3 linked regions of the Callithrix jacchus genome follow. The protein of the gene in region 1 purifies or fractionates together with the protein of each later gene. This does not show direct contact. Links are inferred from orthologs where the notes say so. Each region holds a gene or a part of one and is shown in the gene's direction. Other genes may lie near its edges.

What was found. Proteins that work in one complex are often made in the same cells at the same time.
Region 2: the proteins of MINK1 (region 1) and STRN purify together in Homo sapiens (affinity purification with mass spectrometry; 3 studies listed by BioGRID and IntAct, with this or other methods). This does not show direct contact. The link is inferred for Callithrix jacchus from reciprocal best matches to the Homo sapiens genes MINK1 and STRN.
Region 3: the proteins of MINK1 (region 1) and CNOT9 purify together in Homo sapiens (affinity purification with mass spectrometry; 3 studies listed by BioGRID and IntAct, with this or other methods). This does not show direct contact. The link is inferred for Callithrix jacchus from reciprocal best matches to the Homo sapiens genes MINK1 and CNOT9.

The regions. Positions count from the first base shown.
Region 1 is NC_133506.1:106,401,942-106,406,141, forward strand, and holds the start of MINK1 (misshapen-like kinase 1), read left to right. Parts: upstream 1-1,400; 5' UTR 1,401-1,620; coding exon 1,621-1,677; intron 1,678-4,200. UniProt on the Homo sapiens protein: Serine/threonine kinase which acts as a negative regulator of Ras-related Rap2-mediated signal transduction to control neuronal structure and AMPA receptor trafficking.
Region 2 is NC_133515.1:78,023,603-78,027,854, forward strand, and holds the start of STRN (striatin), read left to right. Parts: upstream 1-1,452; 5' UTR 1,453-1,817; coding exon 1,818-2,345; coding exon of another isoform or gene 2,346-2,428; coding exon 2,429-2,524; intron 2,525-4,252. UniProt on the Homo sapiens protein: Calmodulin-binding scaffolding protein which is the center of the striatin-interacting phosphatase and kinase (STRIPAK) complexes.
Region 3 is NC_133507.1:140,310,763-140,314,768, forward strand, and holds the start of CNOT9 (CCR4-NOT transcription complex subunit 9), read left to right. Parts: upstream 1-1,206; 5' UTR 1,207-1,347; coding exon 1,348-1,371; intron 1,372-4,006. UniProt on the Homo sapiens protein: Component of the CCR4-NOT complex which is one of the major cellular mRNA deadenylases and is linked to various cellular processes including bulk mRNA degradation, miRNA-mediated repression, translational repression during translational initiation and general transcription regulation.

The DNA.
Region 1 (4,200 bases):
GTGACGTAGCAAAGCCCTGTCTCTACAAAACATACCTAAATTAGCCAGGGGTAGTGGCATGCACTGCCTGTTGTCCCAGCTACTCGGGAGGCTGAGGCTGGAGGATCGCTTGAGCCCAGGAGATTGAGGTTGCAGTGAACAGAGATCATGCCATTGTACTCCAGCCTGGGCAACAGAGAGAGACTTCATCTCCCCCAAAAGAAGAAGAAGAAGAAGAAAGGATTGACTTGAAGAAGGGGGCTGACTGGATGTGCATCCAAATGCTAAGGAGAAGGGTCCAGAAAGCGTGTTCAGCTATTTTCCAAGGACTTTTAATTTAAACTCTCTTAAGTGATGTTTATATTAAGGCTGGTGGTGGGGTCTTTCAGAGACAGTGTTGGTGCTGGAAGAGATCTTGAGGATCGTACAGCTGCCCCACTCAATTTCACAGGGAAAGAAAAGGCCAAAGAAGCAAAGCAATTTGCTCAAGGTCACACAGCATGTCAGTGGCAGAACATGACTCTTGGTTCTTAGATAGCATTATTCAGCCTCCACTAAAGCTAATGGCAGTAGGTGCTGTGCCAACATGACTAGATCTGAGGTGACCCAAGCAGTATTTGAAGGGATTGAACGCAGATTCCCTCTCTTCCTCTTCACCACCCCTTCCCCCAAGCGCGACTCCAGTGATCAATGAATAATTGTCGAAACAGTTCTTTTGTGCAGAACACTTTGTTAAAAGAGGTGCAGAGATACACGTCTGCAGTAGGATTCCTTATCCTGAGATCTCAGAGCTCCTCAATGCTTCCCCCACCTGCTAGGTGAGGGTGGAAAGGGCATTCTTGAGGCAGCCGGTGCCCCTCCTCTGCCCCCCAACTCCCACGTGGTTTCTCCAGCCAAGTTCTCACGGAATGGCCCCTCCCTCCGCGGCTCCACTGTTGCCATAGCAATTGGGTGGGTGGACAGCCCGTCCTATCTAGAGGCCACCCAGCCCTCGCGTGGGGAGTTACCATAACAACACCCTAGTAATAGAGGGGGTTGGGTACCGCCCCCTTCCCCCGCAAATGGAGAGGTGGGTGGCTTGATTGGCAAATGGGCACACAAAAGAAGGAGGAAAAGGGAAGGAAAGGCGTCAAAGGAGATCTAAGAAGGAAATAAGGGAGAGAAAGGACAAAAAATAGGGAAAGACAAGGAAACGCGAGTGCGCACGCGCGCCAGCTGGTGGGCGCGCTCCGCGGCCGCCTCGGCCGCCGCCCACTTCTTTCACGCCAGGCTTGCGCGGTCGCTCCGTCCCCGCGCGCGCCTTTCGACGGCTCGCCTGCGCCTGCGCGCAGGTGTCGGTGCCTAGGGGGAGGGGGGGCCCCGGCGCGCTCGCGTCGCGCTCCCGCTTCCACCCTCCCCTCGCGCGGCCGCTCCGCGCCTGCGCAGGAGAGACGGGAGGCTCGGGTGGCTGGCTCCGAAGCGATAGCGCTTGTCAGTCGGTGGGTCGGTCTTCGCGCCGGCCCTCCCCCTCCCCGGTCTCCGGGGGAGGCGCGGTGGAGTCCGCCCCCGGGGTCCTCCGATGGGGGAGAAGCGGCGACGGCGGCAGTGGAATAACCGAACCGGAGCGTGAGCGGCCCCGGTGCCCCGTTCCCCGCAGAGGCCATGGGTGACCCAGCCCCCGCCCGCAGCCTGGACGACATCGACCTGTCCGCCCTGCGGGTGAGCGCGCCGCCCCCTAGCCTCGCCCTGGTTCCTGTTCCCGCCGCTGTGGAGGGAGCGGGGTGGCTGCACGCCTCACGTGCTCCCAGGCGCCCCCTCCACCAGCCTGGGTCCCCTTGGCGACCCGTGCCCCTTTCCCCGGCTCCCGCGGCGGCTGGGCCCCCGTCCTCTGCTCCCTTCTCTCTCCACTCGCTGTAGATGCTGGGAGCCAGTTCGGTCCCCACCCTGTGGTGCCCCGCCCCCACACTTCCCTGCCACCCTACCTTTACTCTGGGGTTCGGGACCCTCTGGTTTCCCCTAAACTTAGCCTCTCCCATCACCTGCAGAATCTTTATTTTGGCTCCTCACCTCCTCTCCGTCCTCTTTCCACCCTTGCCCTTACTTCTATCTTCTTCCCCTCCTCTTCCTCGGCTCTTGGAATTTTGACTTTGCAACTGTCTCGACAGCCTTCCTCTCATCCCTCTTTCTCTTTCTCTCCAACCCTTGCATCCTTTCCCTGGTCGGAATTTCAGCCACCCCACCCCTCCTACCGTCACCCTCAATCCGACGTTCAGTTTTCCCTATCCCTTCTCCTGTTTCAAGTGCAGCAGTTCAGAACCAGGCATTTCCGGTCTCAGGGTCCCTGAATATTACATGACCAACTCTGCAGCGTAGCCGGGCCAGGAGCACTCGGGGAGGAGGGGAGGCATTTCTTCTCTTTGGAAACTGTAGCACGGGCTGGGAAGAGGATGTTTACACACACACACACACACACACACACACACACACACACACGACACATGCTACATGTGGTCAGGCGGAAGGTTTGGAAAGGCAGTGGGTATTTATGTTAGCTGAGGGCTGGAAGCAATGGAGACCTCTCAGAGTAGGGGCTAATTAGGAAAGGGGTTGAGAGGAAGAAACTGCAGCAGGAATTTCTTGGAAATACCCGTGTATTGTCCCTTGTGGGGCACTTACACACTCTGGTGTAGGAGCTTTCTGTAGCATTTATGTTTTCTTCAGCAGGGAGCTTTGGCTTAAGGGGCAACTTAGTGATTTCAAGGTGAACACTCCAGACTGTCAGCCAGGTGGTTAGGAATATGCCCTTCCAGCGCTCTCACCAGGCCAAGGTGTGGGGAGAGCAGGATTTCCCATCCCTAGGTTTGCTTCTCTGGAAGCCCCTCCTCGGATTGTCTTCTGGCTTTTGAGCCAGCCAGAGAACAACGCCAGAGTGGGAAAAGGCGGTCAGCCACACAGGTGCCCCGGATATGGCTGGAGGGGAGAGGGGAATTGAAGAGAGCAGAGTCATGTTGTTAATTGGGTTTCTCTAGGTGACACAGTTTTCTCTTGCCATTCAGGTCATAATTTGTTTGGTGCAATATTGGGCTATGAGACCTGACTGGAGATAAGGTGATAAATTGCTGGGGAGAGAGAATGAACGTTTAATTTCTTTGTGTGCACAGGCACGTGTATGTGTGTTGATGGGGAGAGGGTCTGAAGGCTTTAAGAGGGAGATTCTTAAGGTCAGCTTAGCCAGGGTTTAAACTGCGATGTCCAAGTTAGTTGGTATATAAGATGGAAATCTAGATTCTGCGTAAAAGTCCCTTAATATGTTCCATTCTGGGATGAACTTCCACCTTTCCGTCCTACCTTGGTTATTGATTAACTCTGGCTACAGGTTCCTGTGGCTGGGGTGACTGGAATACAATAAAAAAATGGGTGGGTCAGCCCAGGCAAGGTGGCTCACACCTGTAATCCCAGCACTTTGGGAGGCCAAGGTGGGAGTGGGGCATCACCTGAGGTCAGGAGTTTGAGACCAGCCTGGCTAACACTGTGAAACCCCATCCGTCCCTACTAAAAATACAAAGATTAGCTGGACGTGGTGGCACATGCCTTTAATCCCAGCTACTCGGGATGCTGAGGCAGGAGAGTCGCTTGAACCCGGGAGATGGAGGTTGCAATGAGCTGAGATTGCGCTGCTGCACTCCAGTCTGGGTGACACAGCGAGTCCTTGTCTCCAAAGAAAAAAAAAAAGGGTGGGTCCAAACCACAACCTTTGCTTTGAACTTTGTGGGACTCTGCTTGGGTTTCTTTAGCCTCTTATGGTGGTTTGGCTTTGACCCTCAACCCGGGATTTCCAGCAATTCCACAAATACCTTCTGACCTTAGATGTGGTATTTCCCTCTGGACTTCTCAGCTTAAAGCAACGTTAGTTTTCCTTAGTTGCCTGCAGCCTTATTCTACTCTCCCTCCCCTCAGGAGACCTGGTGACCTGCTCCCAGTGCTTCTGTCTGGCCTGCCTTATGCTGCTTGAGAAAGCATCTGCTTCCCCCCTTTCCACCCCAAAATACAAGGGCTTGAGGGAGAGCTGTACTTCCTTTGAAATGGGGCTAGAGAGGGAGGGCCTGCCTTCTTGCTGGTGACCTTTTCTCAGTGCCTGTCCCCGCGCCCCCCACTCCACCTCAGAGAGATGTGGCACTGTCGAGCCGCCAGCTAAGTCATCTCTTGTTCTATTCCTGTCTGTTTTCCAGTGAGAAATGGTGT
Region 2 (4,252 bases), on another chromosome or scaffold:
TGAGTCCTCGTAAAGCAAAAAAAGGTATTGTGAGTAATAAAGTTGAACTATGAATTAAAATAGTGTTTTTGTATATGTGTGGTAGTCCAGATTATCTATGAATTTAACTACATTTTGTGGTCTGCTATGAATTGACTTAAACAAATTGTTGCATGTGTCCTCTCACTCAAGGCCTCATTGTGGACAAGTCTCAATTTTTTTGAAACTTAGTTCCTTGAGCTATAAACGAGAAGACTGGGCTGTATCTCAAAGGACACTGACAGCCAAATAAGTTATGACACAGGGAATTTGGCCAGGCCTGGATCAATCTTTTATGATAATAAAGAATTAATTCATAAAGCAGAAACATCAATTAAGGAGAGAAGAGAGTTCTCCATCTTTATTTGCAACCAGAGCAGATACAATGTGTTTCCTGTCCTTTCTGCAAGTAGCCATGGGAAAGGGGGGAGGGGAGAGAGGACAGGGACAGGATGTCTTTCCCTGACATGTCACTCAGCAGCCTGTATCTTTTCATTTTTTTCATGGCCATCAAGTCTGATAGCCCAGAAGTACGTCCTAGAAAACATAAGAATTCCAGATAACTTGTTAGGGTGATAAAAAGGTGCTTAATTTCATTTGCTTTTTTTTTTTGAAACGGAGTTTTGCTCTTGTTGCCCAGACTGGAGTGCAATGGCGCAATCTCGGCTCACTGCAACCTTCGCCTCCTGGGTTCAAGCAATTTTCCTGCCTCAGTCTCTGGAGTAGCTGGCATTACAGGCATGCGCCACCACACTTAGCTAATTTTGTAGTTTTAGTGGAGACGGGGTTTCCCCATGTTGGTCAGGCCGGTCTCGAACTCCTGAACTCAAGCGATCCACCTACCTCAGCCTCCCAAGGTGCTTTGGTTCACAGGCGTGAGCCACCAAGCCCAGCCTCATTTGCATTTTAAAAATTGTTTTCAAGGGCCTTCCCTTTCTCCCACTGTTGCAGTGTGAATTTATAGTGACATATTGTCAGACTTCGGAAAAGGAAAATATTTACAGAGAGCCACTTAAAAGGAAAGGACTTTGGTGTACCTTTGGTAGGCGGATGCTGTTGCCAGTTTGCAAGTGAATCGTAAAAGAAACTGGAACAGGACAAGTGAAAATGGAGAGGGGACAGGATATCTAAGACTGGGCTAGGAAGCAGAAAGGGACCTTGCTCTTTCAGGTGGTGTCGCTTTGCAGGCAGTGTTATACTTGATTCTATGCCAATCTTTGATAACAGAAATGGTGTCATTTATCTTAATATTCCCAGCGCGAGAGATAACCGATAATCAAAATATATGTTCAATTAAATGGAGTAAAAATGAGCGGGAGTAAGGAAAAATGAGGCAAATAACAAAGCATCTGTTATTGGATGCTAAAACTTTTACAGGATTTACTGCAGAGGGCTGCAAAGGGAAAGAAACTTCAACAGAGCAGGTTTTCCGACGGGCTGTCAACAAACTACAATTTGCAGGCAGCAGCAGCAGCAAGCTGCGGCGCTGTCTTGGAGAGGTGAGCAGCGTTCCTTAGAAATGAAAACTGGTCAGGCAACAGGTTTGAGCCCCTCGAGTCAAAAAAGAAAGGCAGGAGCGACAGCGACCCGCAGACTGGCAGAATGGAGGAGCGTCTAGGGTGATAAAAACTCCGAAGTCGGAGCCGGCACGAGAGCTCGCAGGACTGACGGCGGGAGAACCCGTCCCGCTGCCGCACCAGGTAGTTCGCTTTGACGGTTTCTTCACAGAACGACCAGGAAGCCTTAAACGATACGCGGCTCGGGCTGGTATCTTGGCGTGATAACTTCCGTGTGTGTGTATGTGTGCAACAGGGAGTGCCGCCCGCGTGCTTGTGTGTGTGTGCGCAAAAGGGAGCGCCGCCCGCCAACTTCCGCGTGCAAGGAAGACTGGAGCGCCGCCCGCCCGCGCCCAGCCAGCAATAGGAAACCCGCGCTCCCCGCCAAGCCCGCCCCTCCGCGGCGAGCCGGAGTGGGCGGGACAGGCCCGAAGCCACGCCCCAGCCGAGGCGAAGCCCCACAGGCCGCCTTGGTCTCGCTCGCCCGCGTCCCGCCCCACGACTACATTTCCCGGCAAGCCCCGGGCCACCCGCGCGCTGCAGTTGACCCATTTCCCGGCCCGTCACGGGCTCGGCCGGCCCCCGCGCCCAGGCGGCTGCTCCCTGCTGACTGGGGTGTGGGCGGGAGCGGCGGAGGGAGGAGGAGGCGCTGCTTGCCGCCGCTGTTGCCTCCGCTGCTGGGCGCCGGGGCAGCTCCCCGGGTATCTGCGGCCGCCATGGACGAGCAGGCGGGTCCCGGCGTCTTCTTCAGCAACAACCACCCGGGCGCCGGCGGTGCCAAGGGGCTCGGGCCTCTGGCGGAGGCTGCCGCGGCCGGCGACGGGGCGGCTGCGGCGGGGGCGGCCCGAGCCCAGTACAGTCTCCCAGGGATCCTGCACTTCCTGCAGCACGAGTGGGCCCGCTTCGAGGTGGAGAGAGCCCAGTGGGAGGTGGAGCGGGCGGAGCTGCAGGTAAAGACCCTCCCGGCCTGGCCGTCTTCATCCCGCCTCTTTGCTCCCTTCCGCCCCGCCCCGGACCCTTCTCCCCCTCCCCCAGCCCGCTCGCGTTCCCTCCCCCTTTGCTACCGCCCATCCCACCCTGAGCCCCGTTCCCTTCCTTCCTTCGTCTTTTGCCTTTCGCTGACCCCACCTCAACCCTGTTCTCACTCCTGTTACCTGTGCGTTGTTTACCCTCCCCACGCCTGTTCGTCGCCCCATCCCACTCTTAACTCCCAGGCTCATTTCAACTCTGGCCATCCCGCATCTCAGGGCTGCCCTCTCGGTTTACTAATTGGGCTGGCAATAGTTTTGAGAGACGCGGAGCAAACCGTCCGCTGTCCTGGTGTGCCCCATCCTAGGTCTAGAGACAGTCCCGGCAGAAGGTGCCGGCTTTGGCCCGTCTCTGCGAGGAAGGTGATCAAGAAGACAGCAGAAGTTGTGTCAGTGAGGCCTCGACTTGACACAAGAAGTTGACGTTGAGCAAAAGTGTTATGCATGTATCAGCTCCCTTTTTAATATATGTAAATATCTCCTCCACTTTCTTCCGACCCCCTCCCACGTTTCTTTTAAGTATTTCCAATTAATGCATTTTGAATGAAGGACCTAGATGATCACAGTCAGAGAGAATGGTTCAGAGATGGTTCCTGTTCTCAGAATCTGAAACGTCCCAAGGGTTAATTTTATGTTCAGTGTTTTGGGAGATTTTTTTGTACTTTAAAAGGAAATAGAGGGGCTTTGAAGTTAGTTACATTGCCTTGCATAATCTGCAAGATAAAGTATAGCCAGGGAGGAGATACTGTGGGCTCTGAAAATAATGAAAGTGAGGCTGATACTTTACAGGCCATTCAGAATTGGTGAATAGGTTTTTCAGTGGTTGTTTTAAAACTTTCAAAGCATACACACCAATTTCAAGAGGAACTTAACTATGAATAGTTGTGCCTTTCTGTTTTACGGGCTAAGCCTGTATACTTATGAAATTTGAATATAGTTTTAGTTGGCGAAACACTTGAGTTTAAAATGCTACCCAGTGTGTCACTTTTTTTGGTAACATGTATTTTCTTTGGCACTTAAAAAAAAAAAAAAGAGGAGAAATCTGTTAAATAGAATCATGTGCTGGAACAGGCTCTGTGGTGTAGTGGAAGTGACTGTGGAAAGAGCCAACACACGGGGCTATAGTAGACAAGGTTATAGTAAGGGCTGTGTTTGTTGCTAGGTGTGTGACCTTGAGGAAATCCTTTAACCTCTCTGGGTTTCACTTTTATCATTTATTTATTCAGCACCTGTGTATTGAGTGCCAGTGTCAGTGAGGCCTTGACTTGAGAAGTTGACGTTGAGCAAAAGTGTTACGCATATATCAGCTCCCTTTTTAATTTATGTAAATATCTCTTCTCCACTTTCTTCCGACCCCCTCCCACGTTTCTTTTAGGTATTTCCAATTAATGCATTTTGAATGAAGGACCTAGATGATCACAGTCAGAGAGAATGGTTCAGAGATGGTTCCTGTTCTCAGAATCTGAAACGTCCCAAGGGTTAATTTTATGTTCAGTGTTTTGAAGGCCAGCTATGTGTTTAGGCCCGGGGTTGAAAAAAAAAAAACGACCAAGCTTCTGCCCTCATTGAGTTTATGTTTCAATGAGGCAAACAGTCGAGCAGATGTGCCTATAGAATATAGTGGTTTATAGTGGCAACTGCTGTGAGAAA
Region 3 (4,006 bases), on another chromosome or scaffold:
ACTACCCCAAAACCAATTCAGGACAATTCTCCTGGACACAGGACTTTGTCATCAATCATTTCTTTTACAGATCATGACTTAGAAGAACGAAATCAAACAACCTGATGTGATAGCTAGAAATGGGCGCAAGGAAATGCACAAGAAAAATACAACTCATGTTTTGCAGTGAGGACTGGTCAAGAGGAAGGTGAACATGGTCAAGAGGGTAAATGAGTATCATGTCCAAGGCCTGGTGGATGTGCGGCAACCAAAGTCACAGTCACCAGAAGAGACAGGCCTTGTTAAGAGGCAAAGTGGCTGACGACAACAGCCCCAGAGGAAAGGGGCCAGGTTCGAGTTTCGGAAGGAGCGACTGGCAGTGGAGACCAAGTCAGAGAGGGGAAAGCCGGGGCAGTGAACCCAAAGGGAGTACCTGTGAGGCTGAGGGTGCGTCCAGGGGTTGTGGGCGGCCTGAGTAGCAGCTGGGCGAACTCCAAAAGAGTGAACACCGAGTGGGCGGATCGCACAGAGGGACTGGGCGCTAGGGAAAACGGCTCAATTGAGAAGCTACCCCGACCCTCCTTACCTGCGCTGAGGGTCCAGAGCCCCCGGACAGACCTGCGGAAAGCACGCAGCGGCGCAGAGCGAGAGGAGCCAGGGGTAATGAAAGTAGGGATAACAAACCCAAAGGAGGGAGGCCGCTACCTACCCCTAGTCAGAGCGAGCGGCTGATGGCGGGAACTGCGACCACACGCAAACACGCACGCACGCACGCAGACTTGACGCGACCACACAGGCGCGTGCGCGCCAGCGAAAACTCCGCCCCTCATACGCCCTCGCCCCGCCCCCAACAGCACCTAGTGCGGCCTAACCCGGTCAGCCCCGCCCCAGCCCTGACTGTAGTACGCAGGCGCACTTCCTGCTTCACCCGATTTCGACCCTCCCATCGTTTCCCTCTTACTCTGCCCAGTTGGGCATGCGCAATTGTTTTCCTCACGGGACGGTCCATTTTTTCCCGCCGTTCACTGGCCTCTGGAGAAGGGTCAGAGTTCACGCCGCTCTCTGGAAATATCTGCTTAAAGCTAGGAGTTGCGGGAACTAGTTGGTCGCGGACGTTTTTCGGGTCCTAAATCTTAAGAGGCAAAGGACAGACTCCGGGACTGTTAACTAGGCCGAGGGCCAGGGGGCGGGAAGAGGATGTGTGGGTGGGGTCAGAGGTGATAGGTCAGAGGGCTGCGAAGGGGGCGGAGCGAGCTAGAGGCGGATGGCTGCTACAGCGGCTCATTATTTTCGGCGGCAGGGGTGCTGAAGCTGGGACGCGGGTCGGGCGCGTCCGGCTGCGAAAGGAGAGCGGCGGCCGCTCCCAACATGCACAGCCTGGCGACGGCTGCGGTGAGTGGCTGGGCCCCCAGGCCTGGAACCAGAACCCTTCCTCCGCCCCACTTTTCGGCCTTCTCTCCTAGTTCCCGGTGTCGGGCCCTAGTCCGATTTTTTTCTTCCCTCAACCTGCGAGGCCCGGGTTCCCCTGCTCGGCGCGCCTTGGTTGTGTTGGAGCCGGCCCCTACGTCCTCGTCGGAAGCCTCTCGCGGCCTCCCGCGCGACCCATCGCGTTCTTTTCTGGCGCCGGGGCCTGGTCCCGCGTCCATAGCAGAGCATTCATTGATTCATTGCGGTGACCAACAGTTTCAGGGCGCCAGTTGTGTTCTGGGCGCCGGCGTAGATGGGCGCCGGCATCGATGAGGGGAATTCCATGGTCAGTCTGACGCGGCCCATGCTCAGAACTCACCACATCGCAGTGGGAAGGAAATGGCTTCTAGTTCAAGGCTTTACTTATGGAAAACCTGAGGCCCGAAGAAGTGCATAATTTTTGCATCTGACTTAAGTTCTCTGGGTTTAAAACTTTCCTCGACACGTCTCGTTTTACCCGCGTGATCTTTTAACAAGAAAGACAGATCGTGTAATTCAGCTGTCTGAAGTAATCCTACAGCTTCTCTTGGCATTGAGATAAAAGCTAGACTCCTTGCCATGGCCTACAAGGCCCTGATGTGGTCCTTAACCCACGTTTACAATCCCGTTTCTTGTCTGGCTCCTGAAGTTTCAGCTACACTGGCCACCTAACCCTCTACAACACACTTTTCCTCTCCAAGATACACTTTATGGTCTCTATGCCTGGAACGAAAGTTTTTATCCTGCCTCCTTTACACACACAGCATGAGTGTAATTGGTACCTCTTCCTTGAACTCTCCATAAACATACTGTTTATCCAAATCCATCTTTCCTCGGGCCTCTGTCTAAATCTGTCCCAGAGTAGCCCTCCTTGACTACCCTCTTCAAATTAGTTCCACAGCCACTAACTTTAATAGAGTACCCTTTACAGCTCCCGATCCCTGTGTAATTATTGTATTTGTTCATTTGTTTTCTGTCTCCTTGAGGGCAGGGACAGGGATCATGTGGGTCCTGTTGACATGGTTTCCCCAGTGTCAGAACAGTTCCTAGTACAAAGTAAAGACTCACTTTGCTGCATGAAAGAATATTGAAGGGAAGGTGACCACTGGAAGAACATAGCCATAATGGGGAAAGATCATTTGATTTGAGCACACATGCCTAAAGACCAATTCTGCTTTTTCTGTTTCACCAAAGGGAAATGATTTAAGGAAAGTAATGTACTGAAATTGTATTATCAGGCAAAATGACATAATTACTAAATAAAGCACCAAAAAATTGCCATACCTTTTAAGTACAAAAAGTGAAAAATTGAGCCAAGTGTGACTAAGCTATAGAAAACTGCTTTTTGAGATTTGATCTCCATCATCATTTCCAGTGCTGTTGGTATCTCTGCCTCCTGTCACACTGTTCCTAAGTGTTTGTAACTATTCAATGTGGAAAGTTATGTTTTATACCTCAATTAGGAGATTGCAATTTCCCTCGCTTTTTTGTTCCTTCTTCCAAATTATATATGTAATGTGAGGAAAAGTAAGTTGAAAGATGAGTTTGCTGCTGTTAGGGGAACAGCAGCCGAGGCAGGTGGATCACCTGAGGTCAGGAGTTTGAGACCAGCCTGGCCAACATGGTGAAACCCCATCTCTACTAAAAATACAAAAATTAGCTAGGCATGGTAGCGGGCACCTACAATCCCAGCTACTCAGGAGGCTGCGGCAGGAGAATCGCTGAAACCCAGGAGGTGGAAGTTGCAGTGAGCTGAAATTGTGCCATTGCACTCCAGCCTGGGCGACAAAAACAAGACTCTGTCTTCAAAAAATAAATAAATAACAAAATGCTCAGTAGCTGGCTAGATTCACTCACTGATAAGTGACTTCTTCCCAGACTTCAGCTTTGGGGATTTAATTCCCAAATTATAGGCTCACACCTATAATCCCAGCACTCTGGGAGGCCAAGGCAGAAAGATCACTTGAGGCCAGGAGTTCAAGACCAGCCTTGGCAACACCGTGGGAACCTGTCTCTACAAAAATTTTTAAAAATTTTCCAGGCTGCAGTGAGCCATGATCGTGCTACCGCACTTCAGCCTAGGCAACATAGTGAGACCCTGTCTCAAAGAAAAAAAAAACTATAAATCTTTGATGCTGTAATGGATGTTATACTTGCGAAACCACCAGAGGTAAGCCTTTAGGAGATGTGTTTTTGTTTTGTTTTGTTTTTAATTTCCCACTGGCAATTCTAGCATCCCTAAACACTTGTTCTCTCACTTTCCACCTAATCAGCAGCATCATTAGTCATTTTATGTATTTTATTGAAGCTGTCATAGACTCCCAGATGCCTTCGTCTTTGGCAAGTAGACAGAAAGAACACTGCACTCTAAAGGATCTAATTCACTGTCTCCTCCCGAGTCTCCTGATGAAGCTTTAGGCAAATTGCCTAACTTATCTTTGCATATTCACTTCCATTTTTAAAAAGTCATTTTGAAACAATACCTTCTGGCTCTTATAAAGTTATAAGGGTAAGTAAGCTAATTTAGTACTTCCAGCACTATTAGAAAGTTCATTATTTTGGAATACCATGCTGACACCCA